Linked DNA regions of Xenopus tropicalis. The protein of the gene in region 1 interacts with the protein of each later gene in a pairwise test. Links are inferred from orthologs where the notes say so. Each region holds a gene or a part of one and is shown on either strand. Other genes may lie near its edges.

What was found.
Region 2: the proteins of otx1 (region 1) and rgs17 interact in binary tests that used the Homo sapiens proteins (3 or more experiments, as listed by UniProt). The two-hybrid records come from large-scale screens. The link is inferred for Xenopus tropicalis from reciprocal best matches to the Homo sapiens genes OTX1 and RGS17.
Region 3: the proteins of otx1 (region 1) and tns2 interact in binary tests that used the Homo sapiens proteins (3 or more experiments, as listed by UniProt). The two-hybrid records come from large-scale screens. The link is inferred for Xenopus tropicalis from reciprocal best matches to the Homo sapiens genes OTX1 and TNS2.

The regions. Positions count from the first base shown.
Region 1 is NC_030681.2:32,913,659-32,916,548, forward strand, and holds part of otx1 (homeobox protein OTX1), read right to left. Parts: intron 1,490-2,890; coding exon 1,338-1,489; intron 1-1,337. UniProt on the Homo sapiens protein: Probably plays a role in the development of the brain and the sense organs. Can bind to the BCD target sequence (BTS): 5'-TCTAATCCC-3'.
Region 2 is NC_030681.2:43,009,793-43,013,451, reverse strand, and holds part of rgs17 (regulator of G-protein signaling 17), read left to right. Parts: intron 1-2,551; 5' UTR 2,552-2,571; coding exon 2,572-2,690; intron 2,691-3,659. UniProt on the Homo sapiens protein: Regulates G protein-coupled receptor signaling cascades, including signaling via muscarinic acetylcholine receptor CHRM2 and dopamine receptor DRD2.
Region 3 is NC_030678.2:147,566,919-147,570,577, reverse strand, and holds part of tns2 (tensin-2), read left to right. Parts: coding exon 1-683; intron 684-3,659. UniProt on the Homo sapiens protein: Tyrosine-protein phosphatase which regulates cell motility, proliferation and muscle-response to insulin. Phosphatase activity is mediated by binding to phosphatidylinositol-3,4,5-triphosphate (PtdIns(3,4,5)P3) via the SH2 domain.

The DNA.
Region 1 (2,890 bases):
GACTCTAGCCCTAGCAACCAGATAGCAGTTCAATTACCCTAGCAACCAGCCAGCAGATTCAAAGTCCAAGCCTGACAAAAACTGGGACCAATTCATACCAAATGGCACTGCCTACATCATATTAAATGTTAATTTCATGGGAAACTACGGCTTCAAAACTTTCGATTTTGTCCGGTAAACTCATCTGTACTCGGTTAGCTGGGGCTGCTGGGAATAAATATCACACAGGACACATTTAAGATGGCACCCCTAACCCAACTCACTTAATTCTCTTACAAATAATGTCTTTTACATCCAAATACCAAAATAGAATTTAAACGGAGAACACGCCATTGTGGTCTATTCCTACATAATTCTACTGCACTGAATACAGAAAATGGCGGTGGATAAGCCGACTAGGCCCCTTTCTGCTAAGTTGGGATCTACCCCTGAATGGAGCCACGCCCAGCACTCGGGAGCTACAGGTTTTAGCCCCACCCCTCTCATTCTGGCGGGAAAGCGCACTAGTGTTGCCCCTGCTGCTGCTGCTGCCTAGGGGAAGGGCCCTGTGCTGTTCGTACCTTATAAAGCTCCCAGTCAGAAACCCGATCCGGCAATTAAAATAGCTCAGTAATCCAGGAAAGGACAGTTTCATTAAGACACACAATACCTGCACGACTGGCACACACAGCTGGTAACAATGCGGAGATCCACCCACACGATCCAGCAGGGTTCAGCAGGACACCCCCGGATCGTGTGCTACAATGGTTTGATCGTATTGCATAAAACTCAAGCGCAGGGCTCGGTGCTCCCCACAGTGCGGGGTTAGTTTGCTATTGGGGCCGCAACTACAGGAATGAAATGTGCAGCGGGGAGCCCTGCCCGGCTTTGGGGCAGAATAATATTACACCCAGTATTGTACTTTATCGGCTCAGCACAATCCCAAAAAGTATCCGTAATATATTATGGCAACCCAATGAAAGGCAGCAGTAACTGACTAAATAGGTTTCATTAGCATTAAGCAACACGGAGTATCTGTGTTTTTATTGAGAAGTACCTGCTTCTCGCACTCACTCTCCTCAGGCTCTAAATGGTAACAGCGCCCCTAGTGGCCGGATTAACACTGACTGGTAGGAATGAACGCAGGCGATTTTGCGCACCTTGGACTAACCAATCCGTGTAACACGATTGCTGCCTGTTGGGTGCCATGTCCCAAGGCCCTTTCCTTCTTTATCATTGTCACCCAGTCCCTATAAAGCCACTAAACTGCCCCTGGGTGCTGAGCAGTAGAAAGCCGTGTATGATGGGAGACTAGGGACTAGCAGAGATAAGGCGCAGTTCAGAAGTTGGCCCCATACCTGGACTCTAGATTCCGGCAGGTTGATCTTTAGTGCGACTTCTTCGCGCATGAATATGTCCGGGTAGCGAGTCTTGGCGAACAGGGCCTCCAGCACATCCAGCTGCGAGCGGGTAAAGGTGGTGCGCTCTCTGCGCTGCTTCCGCGGAGTTGCTGGGGGGACAGCGACACGGTCAGTCATTGGCCAATAGCAATTGTACCCACTGTCACCCTGTATAACAGCCCCAGCCGCCACCACTAACACCATTTTCTTGGGACCCTGACACACTGAGCCATACTAAATGTTATTTGGGGGGTGATCTTAAAATGCTGTTTCCCTTCATACCTGGCAGCTCAGGTTGCACCAACACCAAGCAAAGATTTGTTTTCTCTTATATATGGAATATTCCTGTATGCATTGTAATAATACCCCGTGTGTGCGTGTGTAAAATATTACTGTGTGTATTGTAATGCCAGTGTGTGTGTGTATTGTAATGCCAGTGTGTGTATTGCATTACCCCATGTGCCTGTATTAGATTACTGGTTATTTCATCCACTCACATACATACATGGCTGGGGGGTGAGGAAGGATTGTTTTGCCTTTATATTTACACAGGCTATCAAGGTTAAAGGAGGATGCAACTCATAAAATACATTTTTCCTAATTAAAAAGAAATGGCAATTCTAAATCAACATTCCAGTAAACATTGAAACTCTTCAGATTTCCTAATTAAAGCAATTACTATTTCTCTCTTCTATTCCCTTCCCGGTGGTTCTGACTTTTGAAACAATGTTAACACCAGCCAACTGGTAACACACCTGTGTAGAAACACGCACATTGTGCTACATTGTTTCAAGAGACACCAGCAAAACTACTTTCAATGGCAATTACATTTCCAAATAATAATTATAAAACAAAACAAAACAAAAAAAACAAAAAAAGAGGAAAAGAAACCAATGCGACTTTTTAACGAATTAATTTCGGAAAGTTTCGTGGGTATTTGTTTCTTTCCCATAAGGCAAAATATTTTTGGTTTGTACCCCGTTTAAATTTAGAAATACTCTGTCAAAAATAAATTCCTAATTGGATCTGATATAAGGAGCAAGAGAATTGGAGGGGGTCAATTCCCCACTATGTGACTGAGAATGTAGCTTCAATGTTCCCATTCCCTAATGGATTATATTCACACAGTTATAGAAATTGTGTATTTAAAATTTGTAATTGTATTTTTGCGGAGCCAGAGCAAAACGCATGTGTGAAAGTTAGTCCCCCCCCATTCTCTGGGTGCCGAACAAATAAATACGAGGTTTCCTTGCACCACTAATTGTTATAAATGTTTATACATATATGTATAAAATATTATATTTTATAAAATCGAATAGAATTTGCGCTGCACTTCTGGGCGAACCTACAGGGAATATTCCTGCCATACAGCTGGAAGTCTGTAGTGCAACTGCAGCCCGCAACCACTCACTGGCACAGGATTCCCAGCACATATGGGCAGAAAACGTTTAAACAGGATTGTGCGATAAAGGAAAGGTTTGGGTGTTTGTTATGCGACTGAGACCTCCCCA
Region 2 (3,659 bases), about 10 Mb from region 1:
TAAATTTCTGGAGGTTATAATTTTCCTTTAACTCTTTGCTTACAGCACTAACCTTTTCTGCGAATGGCATTATAATACTGGTCACCTGTTCTATTTTCTGTGCTAAATTCTTTAGTTTCCATTGTGACTTTCAACATTGGGTAAATAAGGTTAGTCACTTCTGAGCAGTATTTTGCAGTTCCAGATTAATTGCATGAATCATGTGTCTGCCTCGGCACATATATACAATGCAGCTCTGGCCATGCAACATCCCATAATATGCTTGAAGTAATGGCAGGTTGGTGTACTTCTTACAACAGCACTGATTTTAATTTTTTTAAGAAACAGCTTATATCTCTCTTTCATAAGAGGCGTAATAGATTGGGTCCCTTGTGATAACTTTTGTTTGATTGAGTGAAGGGAAACTGGGGAATTTAAGTGAAGTCTAACATCATCTTGATGCCTTTAGTGGGTCAGTAACAATAGCTTAGGAGGATTTTTAAAATGGGACAAAAGTAAGTTGGCACAAAGTGGGAAATGGAGTGAGGCCCCACTAATCCCACTTATTAATGCTAAATTATTGATGCTAAAACATTGTATAAGGATTATCTTAATTCTGAACAGACCCATCAATTTACATAGTTCAATTGGACTCAGGAATTATTGTTCTAAATGAATGGTACCAAGATTTGGGTATAGAGTGAGGGATATTGTGTAGGCTATATAGCAGTTCAGGTAGGTATATAATTTTGAATGTATTTATTGTAATAGTAGGCCTACATTCCTCTCCCTTCCTTTCATGAATACAGTGCTGCCAAGCACAGGCAATGCTGTATTCATTCAATTTTTATTTGTAGAGAGCAGTGCAAAATATACAAAAAACATGGTGGCTTGTGCCCATTATCCTAACTAAGTAACGCTACCTAGAGTTGCTCAGTTTTTTATCCACAAAAATCCTCAAATGCTTCTCAATTAACAAAGCCCCCAACACAATTTATATAGTGTATAACTAGCATTCATTTTGATTTAGCCACATGCATAACCTTGCATTAGTGTTTAACCTTATTAGCCAGATTGCTGCCCAGTGCTCCAACTTTTTTAAATCTCTCAGCAAAGCAGCAATGTCCTGTGTACAGCTATTTTAGGATTGCTTAAATGGACATAATGGATTGCACATATTGCTGCTAAAGGTACTGTGGGCCAAACACACTTCTGTTGCATCCTGCCCTACTAAGGAATGGTGTGCAAGTGCACATTTTAAAACTTGGGGGAAGAGTGCAGCTAGGGTTGCCACCTTGAAATTAATTTTATTGGCAGGCTGGGGGGCGGTGGCAATAGTGGGCAGGTAACGATGTCAATGGAAGTGTGGCAGGGGCGTAGAAGTCATAAGGGGCGGGGCCATGGTGCTAGAATCTAGAGAGGAGATTGAGGGGAGATCGGGGAAGGAAAAAGGTTAAATTGGGGTGGGTGAGAGCTTAGGTGGGTGGGCCAGAAGCTAAATTACAGGATATTACAAATTTACTGGCAATTACATAAAATAGTGCCCAAGTGGCATCCCACAGCAGGTTGTGCCAGGCACTACAAGCTTGCTAGACTCCAGTACCTTTTTTAAGGCATACTGGAAATTACCAGTCCTCAATATATTGCTGCAACTGAGTTATGTTGGTAAATGCAATACTGTGTGCATCCACACAGTGGCTAGTGCTACAATGTGGGGGAAAATATTCTGAATTCTGATCGAAAACTACACTTTACACACTTTGCCTGGTAAGTAGTTGCGCTCTAAACCTTGCACAATTTAGTATGATCAAAATAGAAACAATATTTATAGTGACAGCTTCTAGGTCATTCATAAAAAAATTAAAAGCAAAGCGCTATGACCAGATCCCTTCATTACTCCACTAACAACACTGGTCCAACCCATTCCATTTACCACCAAGCTTTGTAATCTATCTTTCAGTCCATACAAATATTATGTTTAAGACCAATATTCCTTAATTTAATCAGTTAATGAAGAAATAGTGGCAAAATCTAAGTAGATCTCTGCATCCCCAAGGTAGGTTTCTGCTAACCTCTTTATAGAAGGCAATTACATATGGAAAGATCTACTGAGCATAAAACCAAGCTGGCACAAACAAAACTGCCAGGCAATTCTAACCTGAAAATACACACTGACAAGTTTCCAGACAAAATTGGGCAGCAGGTGCTTAAACAAGATTTTTCCAACTCTCTAGAAAAATATCTTCTGGCTAAAAAGCACCGATATTGATGTTGTCAGGCACTTCCCATTCAAGTAAATGGGAAATGGTAGGGTCAGTTTCTGTCAGCTGAAAATAGACCAATGTTTAAAACACCAGCCTTAGGAATCATGCAGCCACTATGTAAATAAGCCAGAAACCAAGCCCTTTGAATGTCTGCGGTCGCTCGGAGCCTGTACACAATTTGGGAACAATGTCCTGCCATCCACAGTAGACTTTGGTTTTACCCATGACTTATTTCTATTTATAAGTACTGAAAATCTTCTGCTTCATGTGTGTTCCATTTAGCCTTTCTGTCTGCTGTCTTTTTGTAGCCACTGTGGACATTGCTGAGATGAGAAAGAGGCAGCAGGCACAAAATGAAGAAATCTCGACAGTGTCTCAAGCTCCTGGTGGGAATCAAAGGCCAAACACATGCTGCTTTTGTTGGTGCTGTTGTTGCAGCTGCTCATGGTATGTCATACAGTCTATTTGGTACCATATCCAATGCAGGTAAATAATAAATGTAAGACTCATGGTCAGTGACTTAATGTTTTACAAGTCATTGTCTGAATTAAGGCAGCTAACCTGGCTGTGAAGTGGGTTATATTGTTAAAAACAAATATGTCTTTTTGTTGGTTCAGTGTTGTATTTGCATGCAGATGACTCAAACCTCATTGTCTTCTGAACTTGATAGCTTGCTGTATGGTCCAAAGGGTGCAGATGTTCTGCTACATCTGTATGCTGCACATGGCTGTGTTACTAATAGTTCTCTGTATTACCCTTGTTTGTATTATACACTTCTTTTAACACCTTTTCCAAATACATGTCAGGTTTTCTGCATCAGAAATCTTTTTATTTAAAATACATACCAAAGTGGTAGAACTTTGCAAAAGACACACTTTTCTAAATAAATTGATATAGTAGGATTAACTCCTTTTATTTGTATTCATTTTTAAAATCAATGCACACCCTTAGGGCTTCTCTCCCTGGATTAGGGGTTACCAACCCCATATTCTGTCTGAGGAAGCAACCCCAAGCCACCCCTATTCTCCTGCCCCAAGCTGACAACTTTAGTGTCAGAGCAGGTTCAGAAGTGCAGAGAGCCCTATTAATCTAGAGAGCTGAATTTTCATTTTAAAAAAAATGAAAAATCGCTTCTTAAAGTAACCAGAGGCAGATTTTTGCCATTCTCACCTTGCCTCATGGCAGGAATGGTCCTGTATTCAAGTCAAAGTGTGTGGTCCAGCCATACTCAGTAGCACATAAGACGGTGCTGTCATCGGGGCTGCCATCAGAATTGTACAAGTTATTAATTTAGGGCCCCACACATGCGCCTAGTACAAAACTTCTGGACAGTCCCTTGTTGGCGAACAGCTAGTAGAGAGATTGGTTTTGCTAGGACAAAAGGTTGAACTTGATAGATGGTTGAACATAATCATT
Region 3 (3,659 bases), on another chromosome or scaffold:
AGGGGGGACAGGGGCTGGGGTTATTCTGCAAACTGCTCATTATCCAGGAATGTATGGAGAACAAGAAAGAAGGAGATTGTTTCGCTCTTTATCTGAGGGACCACAGCATTACCCAGCTCATGCACATAGTCCACCAAAGAGAGGCAGTTTGAGGGATACACGGCCATACATTTGCCAGCCTCCTCCACATGAACCTCTTTTTACACCAGTATGCCCCTGCTCTCATTGTCAGAACTCGGCCTGCTACCCTGTAACTAACATGCAGCCATTTCACCGTGGGGAGCTGCCATTGCATATTCCTCAGCCTTTTGGACAGAGTGTTCAAATCAACCATGATTTCCCACATCCTTTCCAAGTCCCTCAAACAAAGATGCTGTATGGCTATCCACCTTCACATGGAGAAGAACCACTGCATTTTAACCATTTCACAGAAGGTGGCTATGGACATACATATCCACATTTTCTAAATCCGTCTTACCTCCCTCCTCATTGCCCACCTAATGGCTATGGTCCCCACTCATTTCCTAATTCCATATCCCCATATAGCCCACCAAGAGGTCAGTCTCCTCCTTCTGGCTCTATATCTCCTGCCAATCTCTCTGCTCCCAGAAGAATGAGCGGTGACACAATCTCTGCAAGCAGTGTCAGTGAACTCACATCTGTGGAACAACAGCAACCGGAAGGTGAGTATTACAGCCAATGATACAGACAATTCAATGATATTGTGCTTTTGGACAAGTTATTAGTCACTTTGGCATTACCGACACCTTAGTGGTATGGTAATTGCACCTTTGGCTTAAACATGTCAAAGCAGGACTCCAATTGTAAATATATCCATAAACTCCTACCGTTGTTACTTTTGGGTGAAATGGGTGGCACTCTAGCCTTCAGCTGTCTATAGGAACTAGGAGATGCAGTCCAGTTACAGCTGGAGGGTGGCAGGTTGAACACCCCTGCCCAAGAATCAGGGCGCCAGAACAGCTTTAATCAGTTGTCTCTTATTCCGGGTAAAGTAAACCAATGCATATGTAAAATGCTTTACATACTATGCTCATCTTATCAATATCAGTGTATAACAGAGGGGCGTTACTACTACATAAGAGGAATGTTATGTGGTAAAGCCCATGATGTAATAATGTGTAGCCCCCCACCCTCAGAATCTAGCAGCTGCACAAGTAAGCCCTGATGTAACTGGAAACAATGGTTATATATGGATCATTTATTTCCACTGTCAGAGGGTCTGGCTTTCATTATGGGGACTGGTAAACAAGGAGTGGAGTAGTGCTGATTTAGTATGGCCAGTAATAATGAGAAACCATTTGCTCCATCTCCTTTCTCCTCATGATTCTGCATGTTAAGTATTACTAAATAGAAATCACTTGAGATCTATGGGAAAGGTCAAAATGCATTTTGAAAATGTCCCCTGAGGCTGGCAACTCAACGACACTACCCCGTGCATACCTTTTCTGCCAGTGCACTTGTGCTCTCTGTACTAGAAGAGCTGAAACAGAGTTACGAGGCTAAAGTGCTGCACACTGCAACCTGATGCACATTTTAATTTCACTTTACGGCATGAGTGGCACTGATGGGATATTCTGTCTTTATTCTGTCTTTATTTAGTTGCCTGGAAAATCCCAATGATAAAAGCTACTTCAAATAGCGTCAATATGCACCCCTTGCACTTCCTCATAGTTGCACTTGTTGCTGCTACTTTCCTCCTGTTGCGCCTATTGCCGCAGACCAATGTGGGAATGTTGGCGCTACTTCTGTCTCTGAACCAGAGGGTATCCCTACAGTTCCCACAATGGCCTGTGTCAGTTTGCGCATCACAGTTGTGCCTAAAGAAAGTGTTGCACGCGTCACTCTGAAGGCAATATGAGATCTGCCAGAAAATTCCAGAGCAATTGCATCCAGTTCCTGTCAAAGCGCAAGCGCGTCTTAAATCATTCGCAGCAAGTCCGTCAGGTGCGTCTTTCCATGGCAACCACAGTTACTCTCGAATCATTGGAAAATTTAGCATTATGGGTTAAAGGAAATGGTTAATGCGTCTGGAAGTGCACATTGCACTGTGCCTATGGGAAGTAGATGGCCCCTCATTTCTGGAATTTTCTGGAAAAAACACTGGCCTTTCTTGGCTGTTATCATTCTTTCCTAACAATGTATTGGCATCAAAAGTTATATTTATTGACAAGGCTGGTAAAGTGCCGACCAGGTGGCTACTCTATGGATCCAGGGCCAGGGCCAGCCGCCCAAAAGCCCTACCAGGAAAACTAAAGGTATTTTCAAATAGATATGATACTTTATCAGTATGGTGCAAATTTTTAACCACAGCCTAAGTAAGGGTCATTTGTATGTACTCTCAGCGCATTCCCTTCCCCAGGCTGCCTGGCCCTTTAAAGGAACAGTTTAGTATAAAAATGAAACTGGCTAAAATAGACAGACTGCACAAAATAAAAATATTTTCAATATAATTAGGCAAAAATGTAATCTATAGAGGCTTGAGTGGGCAGATGTATAACATAATAGCCAGAACTCTACTTACTCCTTTACAGCTCTCTAATCTGTTAGCAGTCAGTAGCCAATCAGTGACTTGATGGGGGGGCCATATGGGACATAACTGTTTGGTTATTTTGCATTTGAATCTGACCTGCGTGCTCACAAACTAACTGAACAGTTATGGCCCATGTGCCCCCCCCTAAAGTCACTGACTAACTAAGAGGTTAGGAGCTGAAAGCAGGAAGTAGAGTTCTGGCTATTATGTTAGACATCTGCTCACTCCCACCCTTTATAGATTACATTTTTGCCCAACTAACTATATTGCAAATATTTTTTTATTTTGTTAGCAAGCTAGACAGTGCCAGGTGACCCGAGAGTGGCTTCTGGGAAAGTCATACGTGTGGCACCAAATGAAAGTTCCAGCGCCCTGCTGCAAATCATTGGTACACATGGCTTCAGCCTCAGGTACTGCTACTGTCTAAAAATTCTCCTGAAATTATAGTTAGTTGCCCTTTACTTCTGGCCTGTGTTGGTGAGTGTTGGAGCCACAATCAGGATGCACATGGAATAGGCGTGACCTGAGACTGCTAATCGGCTCTGTGGTAAAGCAGTTTCCCAACTAACAGAGAATCCTGTCTCCCTGCCACCCCACAATACTGCTATTTATTTATTCTTTGTGCTCCGAGAGAAACCAAAACGCACAAAGACAACATTTTGTTCAAGTTTCTCGTAATCATTATAATTATTATTGTTAAAAGAAACTGAGTATTTGCCTGATGTTTCTCTCTGTGGGAACAATAAATCACCTTCATCCCTAATATCATGGAATGAAGCCTCTGAGTTCAGTTCTGTTACAGAGTGGCCTCTCCTGCACAAGTGCTCCTACCTGCACTGTGGCCTAATCCTTTCTCATTTATCTCTAATAGTGCGTCTATTCAGGGGATTCCTAATCATTTGTGCTCAGGACAAATGGCAAATCCACAATATGGACAAGAGTTATGAATAAGCTGTAAACGTCCTTATAAATGGCCCTTAAAGGAAAAGGAACTCTGTAAAAATGAGACTGTATATTTCTAATAGCAAAAATGTAATCCATAAAGGCTGGAATTAGCAGATGTCTAACATAATAGCCAGAACACTACTTCCTGCTTTCAGCTCTCTAA